Ovis aries: one gene and its partners. The protein of the gene in region 2 binds, or shares a complex with, the protein of the main gene of each other region. Links are inferred from orthologs where the notes say so. Each region holds a gene or a part of one and is shown on either strand. Other genes may lie near its edges.

Region 1 (8,097 bases), on a different chromosome or scaffold from region 2:
GTGGGGAGACTGAGGGTGGGCTGGAGCAAAAGCTGGCAGGGATGTGGGGAAGAGGAGCATGGTGGCGTATGGGGACCAGGGTCTAGGTCCAGATGAGAGGCGATCCTTCCCTGCCCCTCCAGCCTGGATGGCAGTGCTGTAGCCACGTCTGAGCAGTCTATACTCCAGTGGTGTCCAGCTCCATGGGAGGGGCACATCTGCGTGTAGCTTCATGGAGCCATTGCTGTCCACTCCCAAATACCAGCTGAGAATCAAAGGTTTCCAGTGTGTCCATGGAAGCAATGTGTGCGTGAATATACGTGGGGGAGGGAGGTGGTAGTATGGGGGCTGACCTACGAGAGAGACTAGGGGCATCATGCAGGGCAAAGATGCGCTGGGGTCTGAGAATTCCCAGGGAGAGCCCCTCCCCAGGACTCCACTGCCAAGTGTCTACAGCCCAGAAGAGAAGGTGGTGGCAGGACCAGCCTGTATCCTCAGGGTTTGGTTTAGGGTGGGGTCTTGCCTGCTCTACAGGAAGTGCTCTGCCCTGAGATTAGAGCTGCCCCAGGAGCCAAGATTCCTTCCAGCCCCCACCGCCAGCAGGGCCCTGACCTTGTGTGCCACAACATTGCCCACCCACAGCCCTCAGCATCCCACTTCTGGCCACACAGAGAAGCCACAGTGCCTCCCATCCCCTCGACGTCAGCTCCGCCATCTCTCATCCATGTCTCTTCCTGCCCCTGGCTGAAGCTTTAGCCTCCTTCATGGTGCCTTGGTTAAACGGCCACATTTATTGTCTCCTGGGGCCACAAAGACAGTTCAGGTGAAGGCCTGATGGCCCTCAGAGAAAGTCTAGGCTAGCAGCCTCAAGTCCAGGTGGCAGTTGAGAAGCTGCTTCAATTCTTGCTATTAGGCTTCAGGTTCTTTCGGTCGTTCTTTTGAACTTTTTCCTTGAGGGGTGCACTGAGGGACCCTATCCACGGCCCCAGGTGCCACGCCCTTTGTGGAGAAGGCTGTTCTTCCTTGCATAATTATGCGGTTGTTGTTTCCAATCTGTACTCCTTGGCAGTTAAAGATGGTAGGAAGCCATGGCCCTTTAAGAGAAAGAGTGAGGATGTTCGGAGGATTAAGTGGCTGGAGATTTATAGCAAGGAGGAGCATCAGGATGGAGGGGCAGCGACACCTCGTGTTCACCCTGGGGAAATGCAAGTGTGGGGTCTCAGCCTGCCTTCAGCCTTTCCCTTCGGGCTACACCTTCAGAATTTGGTTTGCAGAAACTAAAGAGGAGTGGCAACTAACATCTGAGACTTTGATGTTGTTCAATCACTCAGTCGTGTCAGACTCTTTGTGACCCAATGAACTGCATTATGCCAGGCTTCCCTGTCTTTCACTATCTCTGGGAGTCTGCTCAAACTCAAGTCCATTGAATAGATGATATCTGGGTCTTTTCTGATGGGCGACCCTCTGAACCGACACAGCGACAGTGGAATGGAATTTAGAGGTTCACAGCGCTGGTGGTGGGGCAAATCCAAATGCTCAGGAGCCAAGTTGGCTTTAGTGTGTGACCTCAGTGGCTGTCAGTTTCTTCATTTACAAAATGAGAAGGCTGGGGTAGGTGGGCTCTAGCGCTTTCTCATTCCCCCTCCCCAAGTACCCTGGATCTGTATTTGGTCTTGAGGAAGAAGCTAGTAGAATTGAACAGGGAAAGGCAGGAGTGGGGAATGGGTACCTGGTACCAGATTTGGTGCCGGCCCTCTGGGAGGGCAGTTGGTGTCACGTCTCTCAGCCCCCTGCAAACAACACAGGGCTCTCAGGCTCCCTGTCCTGGGGCCTGATCCCTTATGGCAGACACCCTCAGCCCCAAGTGTCCCCTGGCAAGGGGACAGGATTCACAGGAGTCCTAGCGCATCCTGTAATACTTCCAATGTCTCACCTGACTCCCTTGGGGTCCAGGACCTGGGATCCAAGCAGAGGTGGGCCTGGGATTCTGGGTTCTGAAAGGTAAAGTCTCTGGAGTCTGAAGAGGTCGGGCTGTTGAATCTGAAGATGTCTCTGCTGTCCAGGCAGGCGGAACCTGCTCTCTCGGGACCCTGATGTTCTCAAGAAGGTTTGTACATTTTTCAGGAACAGAGCTGGGGCGCCCCTCCAGATTCAGCTTCATCATTTCAGAGCCCAGGGAATCATGGCTTCCTGTGGTTTCCTTAGGACTGTCTATTTCTGTCCTTTCCAGGCCTGGGCTGTTGCTGCCCCTGTACTCAGAAAGGAACTCCTTCACCTGTAGGGATGGGGAGCTGGCTGGGCATGGAGGTGGGAGAGCCGGAGTAAACCCAAGGGAGTTGGGTCCATATCTGTTGCCTGGGAACTCAGGGATGGGGTGAGGAGAGAGGGGACCATGGTCAAAGCTTAGAGAAGGGTGGTCAGTGGGGGGTCACTGAGTGGCCAAGGGGGCCGCGTTTGCCATCCTGCCCAGCTCCTGGGTGGGGGTGAGCACTCACCACGTAGACTGCGGCATTCATCTTTCTACCAGGCGCATCTCCTTTATTTACCAGATCAAGGGCTTTCTGGGTGTTTATTCGGCATTCTAGAGAGAAGGCAGAGTGGGTGGCAGGTCAACAAAATTTCTTTTCCGGGGGAGAAGCCCCTGCTGACAAATTCAGGCCTGTCTCAGCTGCCAGCCGGATGGCCAGCACACCTTGGAAGGAAGGCCTCTTCTGGGGCTCATGGCTCCAGCACCTCTGCATCAGATCTGCCAGCTCTTCCAAGCCAGGAGTCTCAGGCCCAGACGGGGGCAGCTCAGTCAGCGGGGGCCGGATCCGCCTCTCACACACTGCTTCCCGCACCAACAACGTCTGGGGCACTACTAGGGTGGGGGTAGGGGTGTGAAGAGAAGGCATTCAGAGTATGAAGGCTACCCCATCACGGAAAGGGCTGGGGAGTGTAGGAGATGTGAGGAGGGAGTGGGGCAGTCTGAGCAGGTAAACAGGAGGAAGAGGGCTTGGGGTTGGGAGACTGGGGGCTTAGAGGAGGGGGGCACCTGAGGTGAAGGATCCCAGAGTCTGTCTTACTCTCAGCTTCTCTTCCGGCTAGCACTGCCCATGTTAGGATCCCAAAGCTGCAGTAGACACAAAGCTGAGGCCTGACTCAACTGCTGGCAAGATTCCTTTCCATACAGCATCCCTTTGAAGGACCCAGGCAGGTGTAGAAATTGGGGATATATGTTTGGATATATGTTTGGAGTGGGTGCCTTACCTGTAGACATCACTGGCCCTGGAGGCCTTCTGGTTTATATTAGCCAACAGTTCTGGGGCCAGGTAGGCTGGGGTGCACCCTGACTCCCAAGATCCTGCCCCTGACTGTGAGCCTCCCTGAAATGTGGACAGGCCAAAATCTGCCACCTGCAAAAGGGAGATAAGAACGAGGAGATAGGGGATGGAACAAAAGGGAGATAAGAAGGAGATAGGGAATGGGCAGGTCCAAGAAACTCCCAGAACCCTTTCCTTACTCCTCTCCCCCCAAAAGTGCAGGCCCAGCCTTGCAAAGACTGTATGGAGGGTTAGGGGAAGGGTAGGACCAGTGGGGCCCCTGGCTGGAGGCCTGGGTCCCCTCTCCATGGCACCAGGTTGAGGTCTGAGTCTCCTGGGATAGATCAGCTACGGGTCTTTGGAGGCCCGTGGGGTGGGCCTGTGGAACTGACCAGGGTAAGTCAGGTGATGGTCAGGTGATGGTCAAGGCCTCCATCACCTGGTGTGGCAGGGGCCAGAGCTCCAGGCTAGGCCTTGACACTTGGGCAGCCCTGTGTCCAGAGGGAGATGCTGAGGGTATTCAGGAGACAGGGCTGCAGCAGATGCGGGTCCTATGTCCCGTGGATGGGGTTGGAGCAGCTCTGGGGCAGGACCTGGTCCAGAAGATGGGCTGGGTGAGGGTGGGCTGACCTTGGCGTGCAGCTCTGAGTCTAGCAGGACGTTGGAGGGCTTGAGGTCCCGGTGGAGAAGCACTGGGTTCTGGCTGTGCAGGTAGCACATCCCGAGCACCAGCTCCTGCAGCAGGCGGCAGAGGAGCGGCCAGGGCCGAGGGCAGTGGGGCTGTAGCAGCTCCGCCAGGGAGCCGTTCTCCATGAACGGAGTCACCAGAGCCGGCCCAGACACGTACTCCCACTCCAGCTTCTCGGTGACCCCCAGCAGGAGCAGCACATGCTTGTTATGCAGACTGGACATGGCCTTCACCTCCCTGGATATGGCCCTCCTGCTCTCAGGGGAGAGGTGCCGTCAGCTCTGCGCCCGAGCGACCCTCCCCGCCGCCCAGGCCCCGCCCCGCACAGCGGCCCCTCCTCCCCGGCCCAGCCTCCTGGACCAGACCCCACCTCGGGTCACTCACGAGTTCACGATCTTGACCGCCACTTCTACGCCCCAACTCCTGTGATGTGCCCGGAAGACAGAGCCAAATCCGCCCTTGCCTATTAACTCCGGGTTCTCCAGTTCCTCGATGGGCACCAGCGGGGCTGAGGCACCGCTGGGCCTGAGAGAGGGGGGCCACGTAACCAGCCGGCCGCGGGCCCAAGGCCTCCCTACTCCCCTCCGAGGCCCACCCCTCTAACCGCCCCCCGCGCCCACCTCCGTGACTCGGCTCAGCGCTGTCAGTTCGAGCCCCAGCCCCTCCCGTGAGACGCACTGTGCCCTGGTCTTGGCACGAGGCGCATCCATATCTCAGTCTCCACTCACCATAACGCAGAGCCAGACATCAGGCTGGAAGATGAGAGAAGCTTCTGGAAGTTGCGAGCCCCCACGGATGAAAGAGGGGTTGGGGGCGGGGAGAGGAATCAACCTCCAGGCTCCTTCACGGTTCCGCTTCCCGCTTCGCGGGGTTGTGCTCTCTGCCCGATCCACTTCCTTCTTTAATTGATGCCTCTACAGTCCCGCCCCGGGGGCGGGGAAGGGCACAGGGCAGGGTGCAGAACAGAAACTAGTGCTGCTCCCAAGGTGTCAGGTCAGGTCTGGTTGTCGCTGGGTATCCTCACCCTCCAGGAACCCGCAACCACCTCCTACCGCTGGCCTCTCTCCCTTCTTCCACAGGATTCCCAGCTCCAGCGCCAAGCTTGGGATACCGCGGCGGGGTTCGGGGAGCGGAGGGTTGGCGGGGGGCGGGGGGAGTGCGGGCGGTGGCGCTGAGTAGGATGTCATGGTCCTAGGACTCTGTTCTCCCACAGCTGCCCTAAGATCATAGTTAACACTTCTCTAAAGCTCACCACATGCCATTAGCTCACTTAATCCTCACATCAACCCAAGGGGATAGGTACTGCTTTTGTTACTTCTTTATAGGTGAGAAACCACTGAGCGTATAAGCACCTGGCCCAAGCTGACATGGAACTGACGTCAGAGCCTGGCTCTGAACCGTGAAGCTTTGCCGTTTTCACAAAGACGTCAGCTGGTGGGGAAGGTGACGGGGGAAGGTGTGGCTTGTCCACTGGGCTCTATTCTTTCCGAATACAGACCTCTCCCAGGGTGCTGTGGTCAGCTAGGTGAATTGGCCCACCAGAGAGTTGCTGATACTGTGGTGTACACGGCAGTGGAGACACCGCAGAGCCTCTCTGCCCTCTCTCCCCACCCTCCATTGCAAATTCTCTGGTTAATATTAATAAATCTTCCTGACAAACATGCTCTGGACAAGGGTCTTGGAGAACTCAGGAGCTTGGGGAGACTTAAGGATTCAGGGTTGACAAAAGGTGTTCATATTTTACCTGCCCAAGGCCTGACCATAGCTGAAGGTTATGGAATTAGATACGGCCAGCCTTAGGCACTCAGTCCTTCATGGGGAGACTCAACCCTGTGGGTCATGGGGCAAGACTCCCTGGAAGGTGCTCACCTTGTGGAACTTTCCATCCTGTCCAGTGGTCCATGGACTCCTCTAGCTGGAGCAAAAGTGGCCAGCAGTTAACTGTGGTTCCTCCAGAAACTGGAACTCCAGGATACACATCTTGAATTCTGATGGAGTCAGTGCATGCTATTTTTGACCTATTTAGGGAATTCTTAAATTGTAGTCTCTTTAAAAGCTGGTACAAGGTAGGTATCCAATAAATATTTGTTGAATTGGATTAATAAATGAACAACCCAAACTTTTTGAGGCTTCACTGAGATGCTAACCATCCCAGGTGGTGCTCCATAGTCAACAGAGAGGAGCTAGGAGGTTGGGTTTATTTCTGGTTTGGGGTCTCTTCACGTACCTGCGCAGTCGACAGAATTAATCTGAAGTCTTATGGTGATACGGTGGTATCTCACGGAATATAAAGGCAAGTCTGGAAGTTCCTCAAAAACGTCTAGTTCAGGACCTAAGAACCATCAGAGAGGACAGTCATTCCTTCCATGATTCTTTCTGAGCTCATGGTCTCAACACCTGGCCTCCGTTTGAGGAGAGTAGTCAGAAAGGAGTTAGAGCTACATTTAAAAACCTTTTACAGCTAGATTTCTTTAGACTGACATACGAACCTGAGAACTGGAAGAAGTTACTGTAAAGTGTAAGGTTGGGGATGGTGTCAGAACCTATAATAGTTTTTGACTCAAAATAAACCAACTTGGGCTTCCCTGATGGCTCAGTGGTAAAGAATCTGCCTATCCATATAGAAGACACAGATTCGATTTTTTGTCCAGGAAGATCCCACAAGCTGTGGGGCAACCAAGCCCGTGTGCCGCAACTACTGGGGCTGTGCTGTAGAGCCCCTGAGCTGCAGCTGCTGGAGCTTATGCACATTTGAGCCCATATTCCACAATAAGAAATGCCACTGCAATGAGAAGCCCTCGCATCTCAACTAGAGTCTTCCCTGCTCACTGCCACTGGAGTAAAAGCCCACACAGCTACAAAGACCTAGCTCAGCCAAAAATAAATAGACGTGCCCACTGAGTTTCCAGCAAATGTATGAAGAAAAAAGTCCATACTCAGGCACATCATCAAGAAATTTCAAAAAAATATAAAAAACAAACCAAGCATCTTTAAGAGAAGGAGGGGTAGGAAGAGGAGCCTGGAGTGAGTGCCTGAGAAGACCTCTGCTTTCTTCTTCCAGCAGTTGGGGAACTGGCAAGGCAGAGTTGATTCCTGGATTTTGAAGCTCTGGCCTTTTCTGAGGCCAGGGACACCTGACCCTGGTTGTCCCAGGCCTTTGGAGTCTATTTGGGTGTCTCTCATCCCTTCAGTTCTCTATAGCTGATTGTCTTCAGTGACCTTCAGCCCATCCTGTGTACCTGCTCTGATTCCGCATTTCTAGTTGCTGGGATGCAAGTGAGGGGCAGAGATTGTGGTCTCTCTTCTTGCATATTCTAGCCCTAATTCTCCTCTGTCGTTTGATTAAGAGATTTCAATTATAGAATAAATTGTATTAATTGAGGTGACAGTAAAAAAGATTATGGAGAATTTTTGTTTTCCTTAGTATTTGAATATTTTATATTAACAGGTATCACTTTTATAAACAGATAAAGAAAGAAAAGTGTTATGATGTATGCAAAGATTTAGCCAAAGTTTCAGGATATTCACGGAAATGTTGTTTAAAATAGCGAAAAAATAGAAACTTAAATACCCAATAATAGGAAAAAGATTGAATACATTATACATTGGAAGACTATGCAGCCATTAAAATGCTGTTCTAGACCTGTATTTATTGTACAACAGGGGTTTATTATATATCAAAGGAAAAAAATCAGGTTATAAAACAATATATACCATATAATCACATTTGTTTTGGTTTGCTTCAAAAATCCTCTTCCAGTAGTGTGACAGAGCTCATAGAAGCCTCCCATGGCAGAATACCTAAATGCTATATAAAGCACAACAAACATATTTTAAAAGTAACTTGGTGAGGTCCCGCGGAAATAAGGATAATCTCCCACATGCGTCCCCCTGAAGCAAACAAAATAATACAAAGCAAAAAGGAAATAGTAAATAAACAGAGAGGTCAACTAAGTAGAAACTTAGAACTTTGGGAACTGGGTAGGGGTAAGACAGTTTGGGGCAGAACCAGAGAGTAAAGAGCTAAATGTGAGACAACTCTACTCCCCCCAAAGCTTGGATCCTCAAGGGGTTACATTCTTAACAGAAAGGAAGAAGTCTGCCTGCTTGCAGAGAGAACCTACAAGC
Region 2 (6,136 bases):
GCGTCTCCACGGCCTGCACCCCTCGGGGAGCCGGGCCCAGGAGCCCGCATCTCCCGGTCCCCCGGGTGGGTCTCCCGCACGTCCCAGCTCGAGGTCCAGCCCGCGGCTCCGAGGGCTGACGCGGCGCGGACACCGCAGGCTGGCCCCGGAGCCAGGGTCCGGGGTTCAAGCGCGCCTCCTCCCTGGCCTCCGTCCGCACGGACGCCCCACCGAGGCCGAGCGCAGCGCCCCCGCGGCCGCGCCCGGGTCACGGCTTGACGGGCAAGGCCCACTCGCGGCCCCGGCCCGGTCGCTGGCCCCTGGCCCCTGCCCCCTTCCCGCCGCCCCGAGCGCGCGGACGAGGCTATGGGGGCCCCTGGAGGGGAGCGGCGCCATTACCCGAACGCGGCCGCGGGTCCGGCCCGGGGGACTTGGATCCCGGGCTTCAGCGCTGAGAGCAGGAGCCTCAGCCGCCGCGCGGCCCGACCGCCCAGCGTTGCCGCCATGGTGGGTGCAAATGACGGCCGGGGAGGGCGCATGCGCCGCGTCTCCCGGAGCCCGTGAGCGCGCACCGCCGCCAGCACGCATGCGCCCGGCCATCGGCCGCCCCGAGTTCGCCCCCTTCCGCCCCGAGTTCGCCCCCTTCCGCCCCGAGCACGCATGCGCGGGGCGGTCTGGGCTCTGAGCTGGGGCGCGGGGTTTCCAGGCGATCCCTCGCCCACCTGTGTGCGCGGTTCCCGGGGCACCGGCACAGAGCGTCTCCCCTGAGTGTCAGCTCTAGCCTAACGGGGGCCGGCGTCTCGCCCTCGCGGAGGGGTGGGCTCGGGGCCGCCAGCCTGACAGCTGGAGGGGACTGGGGTTCGCTGTGTGCGTTCTTACACCGGCCCACACCCGTGAGGGCCCCTGCTCTCGGGGATCCCGGAGATCAGGGCGGGCCAGCGGCGGCTGGAGAGCGGTGCGGGCGGGGGCCCGGGTCTCGAGAGCTAAGCCGCAGGGAGCCTCCGATGAATCCCGCAGACAGGCCGGGGCTCCCGCTTCTCGGCGCTGTGGCGGGAGCAGAGGGGGGCGCCGGGTGCGGAGGATGGGGGCTGTGTCCGCGTGGGGTCCCTGGCCGCCCCCGGGGCGGGGGAGCGGCGAGCACCGCAGGCTTGGTCGTAAATGGAGCCGCGTGTGAGTCCAGATCAGTGAGGCCCGTGCGGCCCAGGTGTTCGGAAGCAGGTGGGTGTCGGGCTGGGCCGGAGGCAGGGTTAGTGTCCAGTGGGGGCAGAGCCTCAGTTTTGCAGGAACGTGGCAGAAACAGTGTGAATGTGTTTAGGGCTGTACACTTAAAGACGGTTAAGATGGCAAATTTTACGTGTATTTCACCACTGTTGAGTGTGTGTGCTTCTTACGACCAGTTCAGTCTTCAGAGAGTATAAACAGTATTTGCAGCTGAAGGTTCCACAGGGAAAATGAAAAACAATACCCTTTGATTGTGGCTGCTCTCTCCCTTAACAGAAAACAACCGCACATCGGTGGCTGCTGTTTAGCCTTGTCTTGATTTGGAGATTCCAGCAGCTTCCTTGCATCTTATATTACTTCTCCTGGAGACCCTTTCATTGTAACAATCCTCTATGCACAGTGCTTCCTGGTGTTACAGCCATGAGAAGTTGTATTACCAGCAGTGTCCTCCCTGACCAGTGGGAGTTTCTTGGCAGTAAAGGGAGGTTTGATTTAAATACTATATAAAAGTATATATATATTATATACTATAATACTATACTATATACTATATATGTCTTTTCAACATAAAGCTGTCACATCAGTTTCCTACACAGAAGGAAAGAGAAATATGTAATGTTCCAGCTACTGTTGTTTGACTTTCAGAATCTGAAGTGGGGTCAACATTTCCTTATTTTTTTTTATGAAATGTTGATTGGGATTTCTTGTCAGAGATGATGAGGGGTTAAAAATAATTGTACAATTTTAATACCAGTTATCCTACTGGTCAGCAAAAATGGTAGTGCTGAGGTCTTAGGCTACTGGTGTCAACTAATAAAAACCTACTTATAACACAGGGAACTCAACAGTCTATAATGACCTAAAGAATCTATAAAAGAATATAAAAAAGAGTGGATATATGTTTAACAGTCACTTTGCTGTACTCCTGAAACTAATGAAGCATAAATCAACTAGACTCCAATAAAGACTAATTCTAAAAATACTATTTTTAGGGACTTCCCTGGTAGTCCAGTGGTTAAGATTGTGGCTTCCAACGCAAAGGGGTGTGGGTTCAACCCGTGATTGCAGAGATAGGATCCCACATGCCTCTACACCAAAACATAAAAACAGAAGCAATATTGTAACAAATTCAATAAAGACTTCAAACATGGTCTACATCAAAAAACATCTTAAATAACTTTTTTGCGCCAGGCACCTAAAATGAGATGCATCATCTTATTTTAATCCTCACACCTACCTTATGTCCTAGCACCCTATTTATAGATGAGGCAACTGAGGCCGGGAAAGGTCAGGAAGCAGGCCCCAGGTGCACGGCCAGAGTGTAACTTGTGCCTGCTTGATTTCAGAGGCCTGCGTCTGGATTATACCATAGAACTGGTCCTTCAGTGATGTCTTTGTAATCAGATGCTTCTAACACCTTGACCGTATACAGACCTATTTACATGATTACTGTAACTAGAAAAGCTTTTTAAACTATTTAAAATGTGTTGTGAGAAATAACTCCTTTTCGTGTTGCTGAAGATTTAACTTCATCGTCTGGACCCACAGCAATTATCGCAACAGCGACAAGTGGGGACTCTGCTGAGCAGGGTCTGCGGTCTGGGAGTGGGTCTCACTTAGGAGTATCCACCTCAGGGTCTTCATACCTTTCTCAGAGCCAAGAACAGGTTGCCTTGTTTCTCGTATTGTAGTCTGTGTCGTCCCACTTCGTTGATTCCTGCCCAAGACGAGTGTTTTTGTGGCGTTTGGGCCTAATATCGAAACTCCTCAGATGTAAACTTGGCCCTCTTCGTCCAGTAGTTAGACCGTGGGGGCTGAAGGAAAGGCCCCTGAGCTGGGTGTGCGAGACTGCAGTGCTTACTCTCAGGCCCGTGGGTTTCATCTTGAAAGTCAAAATGCAATGTCAGGAAAGCTCTTTTCTCCCTAGCTCCCCGATCTCTCCTGCCAGTAGCTGGGGGTCACCATGGAGAATCTCACACTGTTTCGTTTATACAAACACATAATTTCAGTGGTTTCCATTTGAGGTACAAAATTTTATTTTAATTAGTCCATTAAAATATTGTCTGCTGTCTCTGACACTGATTAGTTAACCTGTTTGGAATTTAGAGAGCAGTGGTCACAAGGGATGCATCTGGGAAAGGAATCACCCCGCCCCCTCCTGCAGCTGGGGACCATCTCCCCCTCCAGTTTTCCGCTATCCGACTGAATGAGAACTTTTATTTTTCACTTTGGTTATAACAGGTGCTTATGTGGAGAAGGCAGTGTAAAATTAGAAAGCTGATTTAGGTTATAGACTCCAAATTTTTCTTTTTCTTCCTTGCTCAATCAAAACTCCCAGAAACCAGAATGAATAGCATGAAGATTATGGGATCATATGAAAGAAAAAAATGATCTTTCTCAACTCTCTCTTCTCTCCTTTTCGAAGCCCAATTAGGCTTCTTGTTGGGTTGGGCCTTGGCCACAAATAGGTGGTCCTGCGTCCGGCGCAGTGGGTGGTTTGCTGGCGATTCCCTTTTCCATCCTCCAGCTGTGAAAGGTAGGAGGTGACTTTGACACAGACGCAGCACCCCCTGTATCCGGGAGAAGAGAAGTCCGAGTCTCCGCAGGCAGCAGGCTTTCGCCGGGGGGAAGGCGGCCCCTGCCGCAGGAGCGCCTGTGGGCTCAGTTCTGGCTGACGCGGATCAAGCAGTTGACCAGGTCTATCCGTGAGCACAGGTACAGCGCAAAGGCCAGCTTCCCCACGGTGGCCCCCTTGCTGCCTTCCCGCATCAGCCACTTTTGGAGCATCTGGTAAACCTTTTCTTTCAGTCCATCTCGCTCGTAGTCGTGGTCGATTTCATCGATCTGAGATTCAGAGAAGCCCAGCTTACGGGCGCAGTTCTTCCAGTGTCTTCCCAGATTCTCCCTGACCGGGTCCAGGTGTTTGTCAGTCAGACTAGTAGTAGTATCTGCCGAACAGAAAAGAGAAGGCATTGAGCTGTGGCCACGTGAACACTCTGGCTTCAAACACCGGCATAAAGTACAGAGTCCCAGGAGTCAGTAAAAGAGGTAGCTCCCCCATGGTCTGGCTGCGGCTCCCCGGACGCTCCTCGCCTGTCTACCAGCCCACGCGAGGACCGGCTTCCTCCTGGGAGCTGCCCCCTTGGCCGCTAGGCTGTTCCGGACCAGCTGACCACAGCCCCTGTTTACACCTTCCTGACGTCAAGGGGGAAAACACCATTCTTGTTCCTTTTGGGCCTTGTTCTGCTTCCATCTGGCCAGAGTTAAGGTCACTCAACTCAGGAAACCGTCGGCCAGCCGTGCGTGTTCCTCTCACTTGGTCCCGGACACGGAGGCCACCGGCGGGAACTCTGGCTGCGCTGTCTTTTCACCGGTGCGGCATTTCTGGGCTCATCCCTCCCCTGCCCCACTCAGTCCTCCTTTCTCCTAGAGCCGTAACCTCTCTCTCCCTACTGGTTCCTTCCTCTCAGGCCTTCGTAAAAATAATAAAATGAAGCAAAGAGAAGTATAAAATCACCACAAACAAGCCATATTCCGTGATGTTCAGTAAGCGGAATAATAGAAACACCTCGTCCCCCCCGGCAGAACGCCCATCTTTCCTCGGCTCCCACAGTGCAGCTCTGACCATCACCAGATGTCAGCCTCCCGGCCAGAGTCTGCCAATGCTTCACCAGGAGAGGGGCCCTGGGCTCCAGCAGGTTCTCAAAGGCACCCTGTCAGCCCAGACCTTAGGAACCTCTGCTCTAGTGAATTAAAGACTGGCTTTGAGAGGGTTAGATGGGGCAACCACTCCAGTATTCTTGCCTGGAAAATCCCATGGACGGAGGAGCCTGGTAGGCTACAGTCCATGGGGTCGCAGAGTCTCACACGACTGAGCGACTTCACTTTCACTTTGGCCACCTATGGCCTGTGAGCCACACGTGGCCCGCTGCTCGTTTTGTAAAGTGAAAGAAAGTGAAAGTGAAGTCGCTCAGTCATGTCCGACTCTTTGGGACCCGGTGGACTGTAGCCTGGCTCTGTCCAGACTCCTCCGCCCATGAGATTCTCCAGGCAAGAATATTGGAGTGGGTTGCCATCTCCTTCTCCAGGGGATCTTCCCGATCCAGGGATCAAACCCAGGTCTCCCGCATTGCAGGCAGACGCTTTAACCTCTCAGCCACACAAAGTTCTATTAGAATGTGGCCACACCCATCCGTGCACCTACTGCCTGGGGCTGCTGGCGTGCTGGGGGTCAGCTGCGCCACGTGCTCTGCTCAGTCGCATCCGACTCTGTGGCCCCAGGACTGCAGCCCACCAGGCTCCCCTGTCCATGGGGATTCTCCAGGGAAGAAGACTGGAGTGGTCGTCCAGGGGATCTCCCCACCCCAGGGCTCCAGCCCACGTCTCCCACTGTGGGAGGATTCTGTACCATCTGAGCGACCAGGGAAGCCCACATGGAGGCAGTGTCAGCTGAGCGGCTGCAACAGAGACGGCAGGGCCAGCGGAGCCAGAAACGCTTGCTCTCAGGCCCTTGATTAAAAAAAGAGAATGCCAGTCCTGGGGTGGATTAGAAAGCTGGGTTCTTAAATCGCACTGTTTCCCCCAGGTTGTGTTTTGGGATTAATGTTATGAGGCTGTATAGTGGAATCCCATAAGAGAAAGCCCTCTAATTTTTATTATGCAAGTGCAGCTGAGGGCATAGTCTTCTGTCCTTTACGGAATCCTTCTGACGAGGACCTGATGGGCTCCTGGGTCCGGGTGGCCATATTGACGATGATGATGTGTTTAACACTTTTCTATCTTACCATGTGCCAGACAGTGTATAAGCCCTTTGTTTGTGTTGACTAATTTCACTTTCATAGCAAACCCATGAATTAGATATTCTAATTATGGCCTCAGCACACATAAATAAGTTACAAAGCACGTCCACGGAAATTACATGAGGAGCAATAGGGCC
Region 3 (8,114 bases), on a different chromosome or scaffold from region 2:
GCTCTTGTGTCTTTGTGAGCATTTAAAATTGCATTTAGTGACTGTATTGGGATAAAGGCAAATATAACTCAGCTGGAATTATTAGCTATTCATTCTTACTATGATATCCATTTTTTCTTCTAATTTAAAGAGAAATTGGAGCATTTGGTGACCCCCTAAAAGTACTGGAGGCTCTAGGCCTTAGGCCTGCTATTTGTAGTGCCTTAGTCAGTTCTGGGACTCCACCTGTGGGTATGTAAGCCCAGCCTAGCCAACTCCTTCAGCACCTTTAAAACTCCAAGTTGGGCAAAATGCTTACAGAAAACTGTTAGCAAATTCAGACTGAGACCTGTGTCCCAAGGTTGATACAGTCAGGGGTGGACCCCACCTCCAGGAAGCCCTCCCTGGTTACTTCCACCAGCATTCCCCTCCCTCCTGGAATCCCCTGCCAGGGACAGGTCAGCAAGACTCCAGCTTCTGACAAGGTAGGGAAGCTCCTAGCAGGAACCCGGCAAGAACCAGGGCTTGCGTGTTACAATTTCTCTTCACAGCTCTGCCCTCTGCCCTGTCCAGGGTAAGGGCCTACCTGATTGATAAATTGTCCAAGAGTTTGATTTCTGGTCAAAGTCCAGGAGGTGCTTGTCCCTCATTGCATACAAGTCTGGGTTGACTTCCTTTGCTGTCTTCATCCCCAGGGCCTTGGCGATCATCAGGGCTTTATGGGGCCCATGGGCTTCCAGGAACTGGTAGATCTCTTTCTCTGGGAGGTGGGAGGCCGGTGGTTAAAGAGGACCCTGGAGGCTGGATCTACTCCCCTGCTTACCAGCCCTTGTGCCCATTTTCCTAATCTGTGAAATGGACACAATAATATTACTGCACCACGGAGGTCACTCTGGGGGTTGGGAATTCTCTCCAGGGGCTCCAGACAGTGCCTGCCCACACTAGGTGCACAGCAAATGCTAACCATTCATCAGACAAATGATTTCTCAGTCACTTAGCCTCTTTCCCCAAGAGGCAGAGCCTTGCCTCTGAATACTGTGTGCAGTGTGGGGACCTTTCAGTGGGTGGGGTGGTTGTTGCTGGACACGTGTTAGCTTCCTGAGTGACCGTGAGAGTCTGGGGGCAGAGGGACCCGGTGCTGAATGAAACCAGGATGCTTACGCTGTTCACTGAGCTCTGGGCCCGGCTTCTTTGGAACTGCAACTGCATCTTGCTGGGGCCTCTCCACTGGAGAAAGAAAGATGGTCAGGGGTGAAGGAACGGGAGAGGGGACGTGGATTCTGCCAGACAAAGGCGGGCTGCTCTGTAGAGGACCCAGTATGTGGATCTCCAAACTCAGATTCTAGAGTTAAAGGAACTTAGCTTCAAATCCTGCCCCACCCACTTCTGGGCTTCCCTGGTGGCTCAGACTGTAAATATGGGAGTCCTGGGTCCAATCCCTAGGTTGGGGAGATCCCCTCGAGAAGGGAACAGCTACGTACTCCAATATTCTTGCCTGGAGAATTCCATGGACAGAGGAGCCTGGTGGGCTACAGTCCATGGTGTCGCAAAGAGTTGGACATGACTGAGTGACTAACACCTTCACTTTCAGCCCCCCTCCCCCAACCCTGGTCCTGCAACGGCTTTTTGTAAGTACCTGACACATGTCAGCTGTTTAGGGCCATGGGCTGCAGAACCAGAGAAGCAGATCTCATGCGATGCTCAATTATTATTGTGTCATTGGTCATGTCATAATCATCATTATTAAAGTTTTGCTGAGCATCTACTACGTGCTGGCATGGGCTTAGCCATTTGCATCAAATCCTCTCACCTCCATTGGCCAGAGAAAGAAATCAGGATGCAGTCAGAAGACAGCATGCACCCTCAAGGGCAGAGCCCGTACTTGAACCCAGGTCCAAATCTGGGCTTGGTCGCTACCAGGACCGCTCATGCTGGGTCCCGCACCCCCACCTCTCCCACCCGCGGTGACAGGTTACCCCGCTCTGTGGGAACCATTTCTTTGGTCCCGCTGTCGCCCAAGCACCACATTGCAGGGCCTGCGAGCATGACTCCTTTTGACTCCTGCTTCATCTTGTGGAGGAGCTGGTTGAGCTTCTTCTTGGGCACTTGCAATTTCTTTAACAGTTGGGTGGTCTTCACAGGGGAGCCAGCATCCCTCAACACCTCCAGAATTCTCTGCTCAAGGTCTGGGAGAGGGAGACAGGGGCAGAGACAGAACTGAGGTCCCCACGACCCAGCCTGGGCCGTCAGGCGCCCCCCAGAGAGGGATCTAGGGCAGACGGAGGAACAGAGGTTAACGTAGACACCCATCAGTGTCTCCTTGTCTTCAGGGAGGGGCGCGTGGGCTGCTCAGAAGTGACCTGGGCAGGACAGTCTGGTGGCCAGAGGAGCTGCCAGGCCTTCCGAGTGTCCCCTGCCTGTGTGAGCACTGGAGGACAGATGAGAACAGTCAGCCCTCAGGTGTCCTCAGAGCAGAAGAGAGTGGAGGCGGCAGGATGCAGGAGGGTAAGGGCGGAGCAGAGGAGCCAGGGAAGTAAGGCCTGTCCCTGGTGCCTTCTATCCCCCATCCACCCCGCCCTGTGGAATCTGCTCCTCGGGCTCACCATCCACGGGGGGGTTTCACCGTTCATCCCCCCCAGAAGCCCAGCCGGCGTCCAGAAACAGAGCTTTCACCCTGCTGCCCAACCATGGAGTCCTGGTGGTGCCGCTCCAGACTCTCTCAACCCCTTCTCCTTTCCTCTGCCTCCACTCCCCACTCCTTGTCAGCATCCCCTCGATGACAGAAGTTCCACCAACTCCAGCTTCCCTCCAGTCCACCCTCCTCTTGGCTGGCAGAACCCGTTCTGCCAGCCTCATCTTTACCCACCCTCTACTGCCCTTCAAGTGCCAACCTGTTTGAATTCCTTTCAGCCATACTCACCCCTGGGCCTTTGCACATGCCATTCCCTTTGCCAGGCATGCTCTTCCCCCCATTTCCACCTGTCCAGTGTGAGTTCTCACTCAGACTCCAATGCTGGAAGGCTGTCCTGAGTGCCCTGAGCAGGTGGGATGCTGGTCCTGTGTGGGTCCCCTGCAGAGTGTCCCCAGGGATCCGCTGCTGTGACTGCCAGGTTCACTGTAGTGGTTCTGTGTCTAGCCATGGGCCAGGCATGCAGTAGGGTCTCACGAACTATTAACAGCATTTGAATGGAGGAGGGACTGGATGAAAGAGTGAGTGTCCACTCCTGGGTAGATGTGTGCTCAGATGGCCTGGGCAGGGGATGGGCGCTCCTCCAAGGCCTCTGTTTCCGCCTCCCCTCTGCCAGAGTTAATGGTCCTAAGCAGGATGCCTCTAGGCTCAAAGAGGAACTTTCCAAATAGCCTCTACTCCTCGCAGGCAGGCTCCCATAAACCCAAGCCGGCTGCCCTGTGGGGAGTGAGAGAACTGGTGGGCGCAGAGCCAGCAGTGCATGGCGCTGGGAGAGAAAGTGTCTGCCCCTGAGAACACCATGGGAATGCAAAGCAGGGCCTTTCTTGGGAAGGCCAAGTTACCTTCCCAGGGCAGCAGCCCAACCCTTTGACTTCTGGGTTCTTGCTGGATTCTGAGTGGGCAGCACTAGGGGATGACCTGTTTGCCAGCTCTGCGCTGGGCACTGTGGCTTGCTCTTGTGGGCGGAAGGTTTGCTTTCTTCTGGGGGCAGGTGATGTGCATTACAACCCCTGGGGTCACCCAGCCTGAATTTCACTCACTAAACACTACCCCCGAGACTGTCATACCCGTCCCACCCACTGATGCTTTGCCTAGCCTTGAAAAGAGTTTTGATTCCTGAAAAACCTGCTCCTGGGTGAGCCTCTCTCTCTTCCTCCTCCTGCAGTCCCCTGACCCCAAAGAGGAAATGGGGTCCATGCAGTGAAGGCTGGGCTTGCCTCCCCCACTGAGTCTTCTGGCTGCTGAACCAGAAATTGCAAAATGGGATGAGGTATAAATGATACATCAGTTAAAAGGAAAACCTGCTGGGGAACAAGTTAAATTCAGTTACCCAGTGCCCCTGACAAGTCTCCTTGGGAAAATACAACAGGAACCTGGGAACCCACCCTGGGATTCTGGGCCACTCCCAGTTAACCCCCCTCCCTGACACAGCATATTTTCCTGGGTTTGAGCCAAAATTCTGCCACCTATCAGCTGTGTGACCTCCATTTCCCCATCTTTGAAATGGTGAGATTCATGACTACTTCAGATCATGGTGAGGTTCAGATAGTTACTGATCACAGAACAAAGACAGACAAAAAGCACCTCAGCCCCCAGCCCACACCCTTTCGGTGGGGACCCTAGGAATCAGCTCTGTTCAGTGCCAGTTAAGTTTCGTGTGCGCCATTCAATAAAAGAACAGCAGCAGGAGGAAAGCCACATACAAGCAAAGCAACTTCCCTCCTTCCTCAAAACGAAAGTGAAGGCGGGTGTTCAGGCCCCACGCTCAGCTGTGGTCGCCTGAGTCATTTCACCTGTGCTGCCTGTGATCTCGGGAGTGAGGTGGGAACCTCAGCGGGCTTCCCCTGAGGGTTCCTGCAAAACGCACACGGATTGAACCCGATGCAATGCTCTCTCCCTCTCTTGTTACGGTGGTGCCTTCAGGTATTAGCCTATCATGGTTGTCATCTGAACCAAGAAAAGGAACCAGAAGAAAAGTTAAGTCCAGCCCAGGCACTCCCGCGGGTCCTTAGAAGGAAAAAAGTACCTGTGTCTCCTGGGTCAGCAGGGACCTCGGCCATGCTGGCAGCAGCTGCAGGAAGCCTGGGAGACTTGGAGTCAGCAGCAGGCTCTGACCCTGGGGCCTGCATAAGGTGGGTCCGGTCAAGGCTGTGTGTACTCTTGTGGGCCAGGCTGGTGCTTCTAGCAGCTGTGAAGACACTCCAGCTTCATCCGGACAGCTGTCAGCTGTCAGCTGTTCACACCCCGGAAATGAGGCCCTAGGCAGCCAACCTGATCAGTTTCTGGAGAAAATGAAAATGAAACTCTTATGTGTGGTTTTTGAGAGAAACAAAATCGAAAGCTGAATTGAGCAAGACACAGTTAGGCCTTCTACTAGATATTGGTAGGGAGCTGCTGAGATGGAGGAGACCAGAGCTTCTTCTAGGGCTGGGGGGATTTCCCACCACTGTCCACCTTGACTCCCCCAGCCACAGGCCAAGATACCTGGGTGGGTGAGTGGCTGAGCGCTTGTGATCATCAAAACCACATATGTGTGTGCATATCAAACCAACGACAGTGTTGGTGTACGGCAGAGACCACAACATTAAAAAGCAATTATCCTCTAATTAAAAAAAAAAAGGAGGACTGTTTAATGAGTACTTACTATGTACTTTCCAACCTCATGTGCCCCTGACTCATCTACAGGTTAGGATCTAGTTAGGGTCTCTTTTCTCAGGAAACTGAGGCTCGGGTCAATGAGGCCACTTGTCCAAGATCACAGAGATGCTCAGGTTCTAACTCAGCCCCACCATTTACTGGCTGTGGGACCTTGGACAGATTATTTTACCTATTTATGTCTTAGTTATCCCATCTATGAAATGAGCTAATAAAAGGAGTGACCTCAAGAGGTGGTGGCGAGGACTAAAAGGGTTAATTCAGGCACCTCTACAGCCATGAGCATAGCTGGGCACCCACTGACCTGGTTCTGGAAAAAAAGACCCATCGCTTCTGAAAATTCTTACAGGGGCCATTGACCTCCCCAAACAGTTCAGAGACCCTGCTCAGTCCAGGTGACGGAAGGGGAAACTGAGGCCAACAGAGGTGAAGGGCTTTGTGCAAGGCAGCCCAGAGGGTCAAGGGCTCAGGGTCTCAGCTGAGGCCAAGGAGTAGGTGCCAGTCCCGGGCTCCCAGGGGAACACCATCCGCAGCATTTCTGCAAAGGGAAGCACTTGGGAATAAGTACAGCCATGGAAAGGGCCCCGAAGGCTTATCTCAAAGTTATCTTTGTGTTCCTGAGTCCAAGTTCTCCCGGCTCACTGCACAACAGGCCAACAAATCAGAGATGAGGTGTTGAGGCAAGAAATACAACTTTATTTGGAGAGCCAGCTGACCGAGAAGATGGCATACTATTGTCTTAAAATAACCATCTTATGGGGTCTGGATGCCAGGTTCTTTCACAGATCAGAGGTGGAGGGAGATGAGGAAACAAAGTAAAAAGGCCATTAATCTTGCGAACATCTCAAATGGCGAGCCTCAGGCAGGGGATGTGTTCATTTCTTCCTTCCTGCCATCTACAGGTGGGCAGGGTTCTGAACAAAGGCACTCTAGTTTAGCAGTCAGGCAGAGGGGGCAGGATTCTGAGGCAGACCATTATGGGTGATTATAATAACAAAAGCAACAGAGAGCAAATTAGAAGGAACGCATGTAAGAATTAAAGATATTAAAATTTAAAAAATAAAAAAACTAAAATAAATAAATAAAAATAAAAATAAAAAAAAGAAACCGTTCCAACATGGAGCCAGACTTGGTTTATCCCTGTAACATTTGCAGAACAAGCAAGAAAAATCCCGATGCCCTGTCCACTCTCAGACCAAGTAAGTCCCCATCTTGGGAGGCAGGGCTGGAAGTCCTAGAGGACTTCACTTGAACCAGAGGTGAAGTGTTGGACAACTCAATAAAAATAGGAAGCCGCAACGATATTTGTGCTCCTTTTTAATGTAAAACAGAAGAAACGTGTGTCTCTATGTGCGTTGACAACGTTAATTTTAAATGAGGATTAATTGGGTGTATTGGGAGAGATTGTCAGGTGTCTTCTGAGCTCAGGCTCAGGCTGAGTCACTGTGGGCGGCTGGGAGGTGCCACGCCAGGACCGACCACTAGGTGGCGCCCGCTCACCAACCTGAGTCCAGGCTCCCCTTGCCCAGTTCCTCTGATTTAGCGGGGGTGGCTCTCACTTGTCCCCCATCCTAGGATAACCCCAACTCCATCTGACCATATTCTGGCTTCTCAGCCATGTTGACCTTAGTGTGGACACTCCGACTTGGGCCTAGACCTGGTTACCTGGTGGATTTGCAGGTCACACTAGAGTCCAATCTGAGGGTCAGCTGCTTCTGGTTTGTGTCTGTATGCACACGTTGGGAGGGCTCTGTTCCCCATCACCCACCTCTGAGCTGCAACCCTTCTTCTCCCTAACAGTGTGCCACTTCCTCTCTGAGCTTTGTTTTAATTATGAAACAGAAATAACAGATAAGAAAAAGCATGTTTATCTGTCACTTAGTAGGTGTTTACAAAATTTGCTTCATTTGGAAAATGCCACGTGACTGATGGATCTCCATAACATAACTTTAGACATTGTGCTGTGCTTAGTTGCTCAGTCGTGTCTGACTCTTTGCGACCCAAAGGACTGTAGGCTGCCAGGCTCCTCTGTCCGTGGAATTCTCCAGGCAAGAATCCTGGAGTGAGTTGCCATGCCCCCCTTCAGGGGATCTTCCCAACCCAGGGATCAAACTCAGGTATCCTGAATTGCAGGCAGATTCTTTACTGTCTGAGCCACCAGGGAAGCCCAAGAATACTGGAGTGGGTGACTTATCCCTTCTCCACAGGATCTTTCTGACCCAGGAATTGAACCAGGGTCTCTTGCATTGTAGGCAGATTCTTTATGAGCTGAGATGCCAGGAGAGCCCAAGATTAGACACTAGGCAAAAAAAAAAAAAAAAAAAAAGCAAGTGAGAAAGAGGAAGTAAAAAACACAATTTAATGTGGATGGGTTCCTCCTTCCTTAGCGTTCCATGGTACACCTGGAATGGAAACCATGAACCTGCTGTGAACATCTTACCACATTGAATGGGATTCTTACTTTTAAAGTTTTAATTAATTTGCATTTCCTCTTCTCTACTTAAGAGAATTTCAAGGTAATTTTGACTATAAGGATGGTCTTTCACCGAAATATCAGTGACTCACACTATACAGAAACTTCTTTCTTTCTCCTGTAACAGTCTGGTGGGTAGCCCAACACCATAGTGTTGAGGCCCAGGCCCCTTCTATTATGTTGCTTTGCCATTTGTGGGCTTTATGTTCTAAGATGGCTGCTCAAGCTCCAGCCATCACAACTCCATTCCTTACAGGAGGAAGGAAGCAAGGGAAGAAGACTAAGTGTCTCTCCTTTAAGAACACTCATGAATTGCAC

The links. The genes of interacting proteins can lie anywhere in the genome.
Region 1: RIPK1 (region 2) and RIPK3 share a complex: the UniProt entries of both Homo sapiens proteins name them as parts of the AIM2 PANoptosome complex. The link is inferred for Ovis aries from reciprocal best matches to the Homo sapiens genes RIPK1 and RIPK3.
Region 3: RIPK1 (region 2) and ZBP1 share a complex: the UniProt entries of both Homo sapiens proteins name them as parts of the AIM2 PANoptosome complex. The link is inferred for Ovis aries from reciprocal best matches to the Homo sapiens genes RIPK1 and ZBP1.

The regions. Positions count from the first base shown.
Region 1 is NC_056060.1:20,646,247-20,654,343, reverse strand, and holds RIPK3 (receptor-interacting serine/threonine-protein kinase 3), read right to left. Parts: upstream 4,852-8,097; 5' UTR 4,718-4,851; coding exon 4,698-4,717; intron 4,495-4,697; coding exon 4,354-4,494; intron 4,222-4,353; coding exon 3,912-4,221; intron 3,875-3,911; exon of another isoform or gene 3,591-3,874; coding exon of another isoform or gene 3,375-3,590; coding exon 3,229-3,374; intron 3,092-3,228; coding exon 3,045-3,091; intron 2,840-3,044; coding exon 2,672-2,839; intron 2,561-2,671; coding exon 2,475-2,560; intron 2,255-2,474; coding exon 1,913-2,254; intron 1,770-1,912; coding exon 1,709-1,769; intron 1,074-1,708; coding exon 889-1,073; 3' UTR 741-888; downstream 1-740. UniProt on the Homo sapiens protein: Serine/threonine-protein kinase that activates necroptosis and apoptosis, two parallel forms of cell death. Necroptosis, a programmed cell death process in response to death-inducing TNF-alpha family members, is triggered by RIPK3 following activation by ZBP1.
Region 2 is NC_056073.1:49,669,464-49,675,599, forward strand, and holds the end of RIPK1 (receptor-interacting serine/threonine-protein kinase 1), read right to left. Parts: intron 4,149-6,136; coding exon 3,862-4,148; 3' UTR 3,213-3,861; downstream 1-3,212. Other genes in the region: BPHL (valacyclovir hydrolase), read right to left, coding at 379-485. UniProt on the Homo sapiens protein: Serine-threonine kinase which is a key regulator of TNF-mediated apoptosis, necroptosis and inflammatory pathways.
Region 3 is NC_056066.1:58,224,461-58,232,574, reverse strand, and holds the start of ZBP1 (Z-DNA-binding protein 1), read right to left. Parts: upstream 4,852-8,114; 5' UTR 4,798-4,851; coding exon of another isoform or gene 4,695-4,797; exon of another isoform or gene 3,386-4,694; 5' UTR 2,290-3,385; coding exon 1,956-2,289; intron 1,207-1,955; coding exon 1,141-1,206; intron 740-1,140; coding exon 566-739; intron 1-565.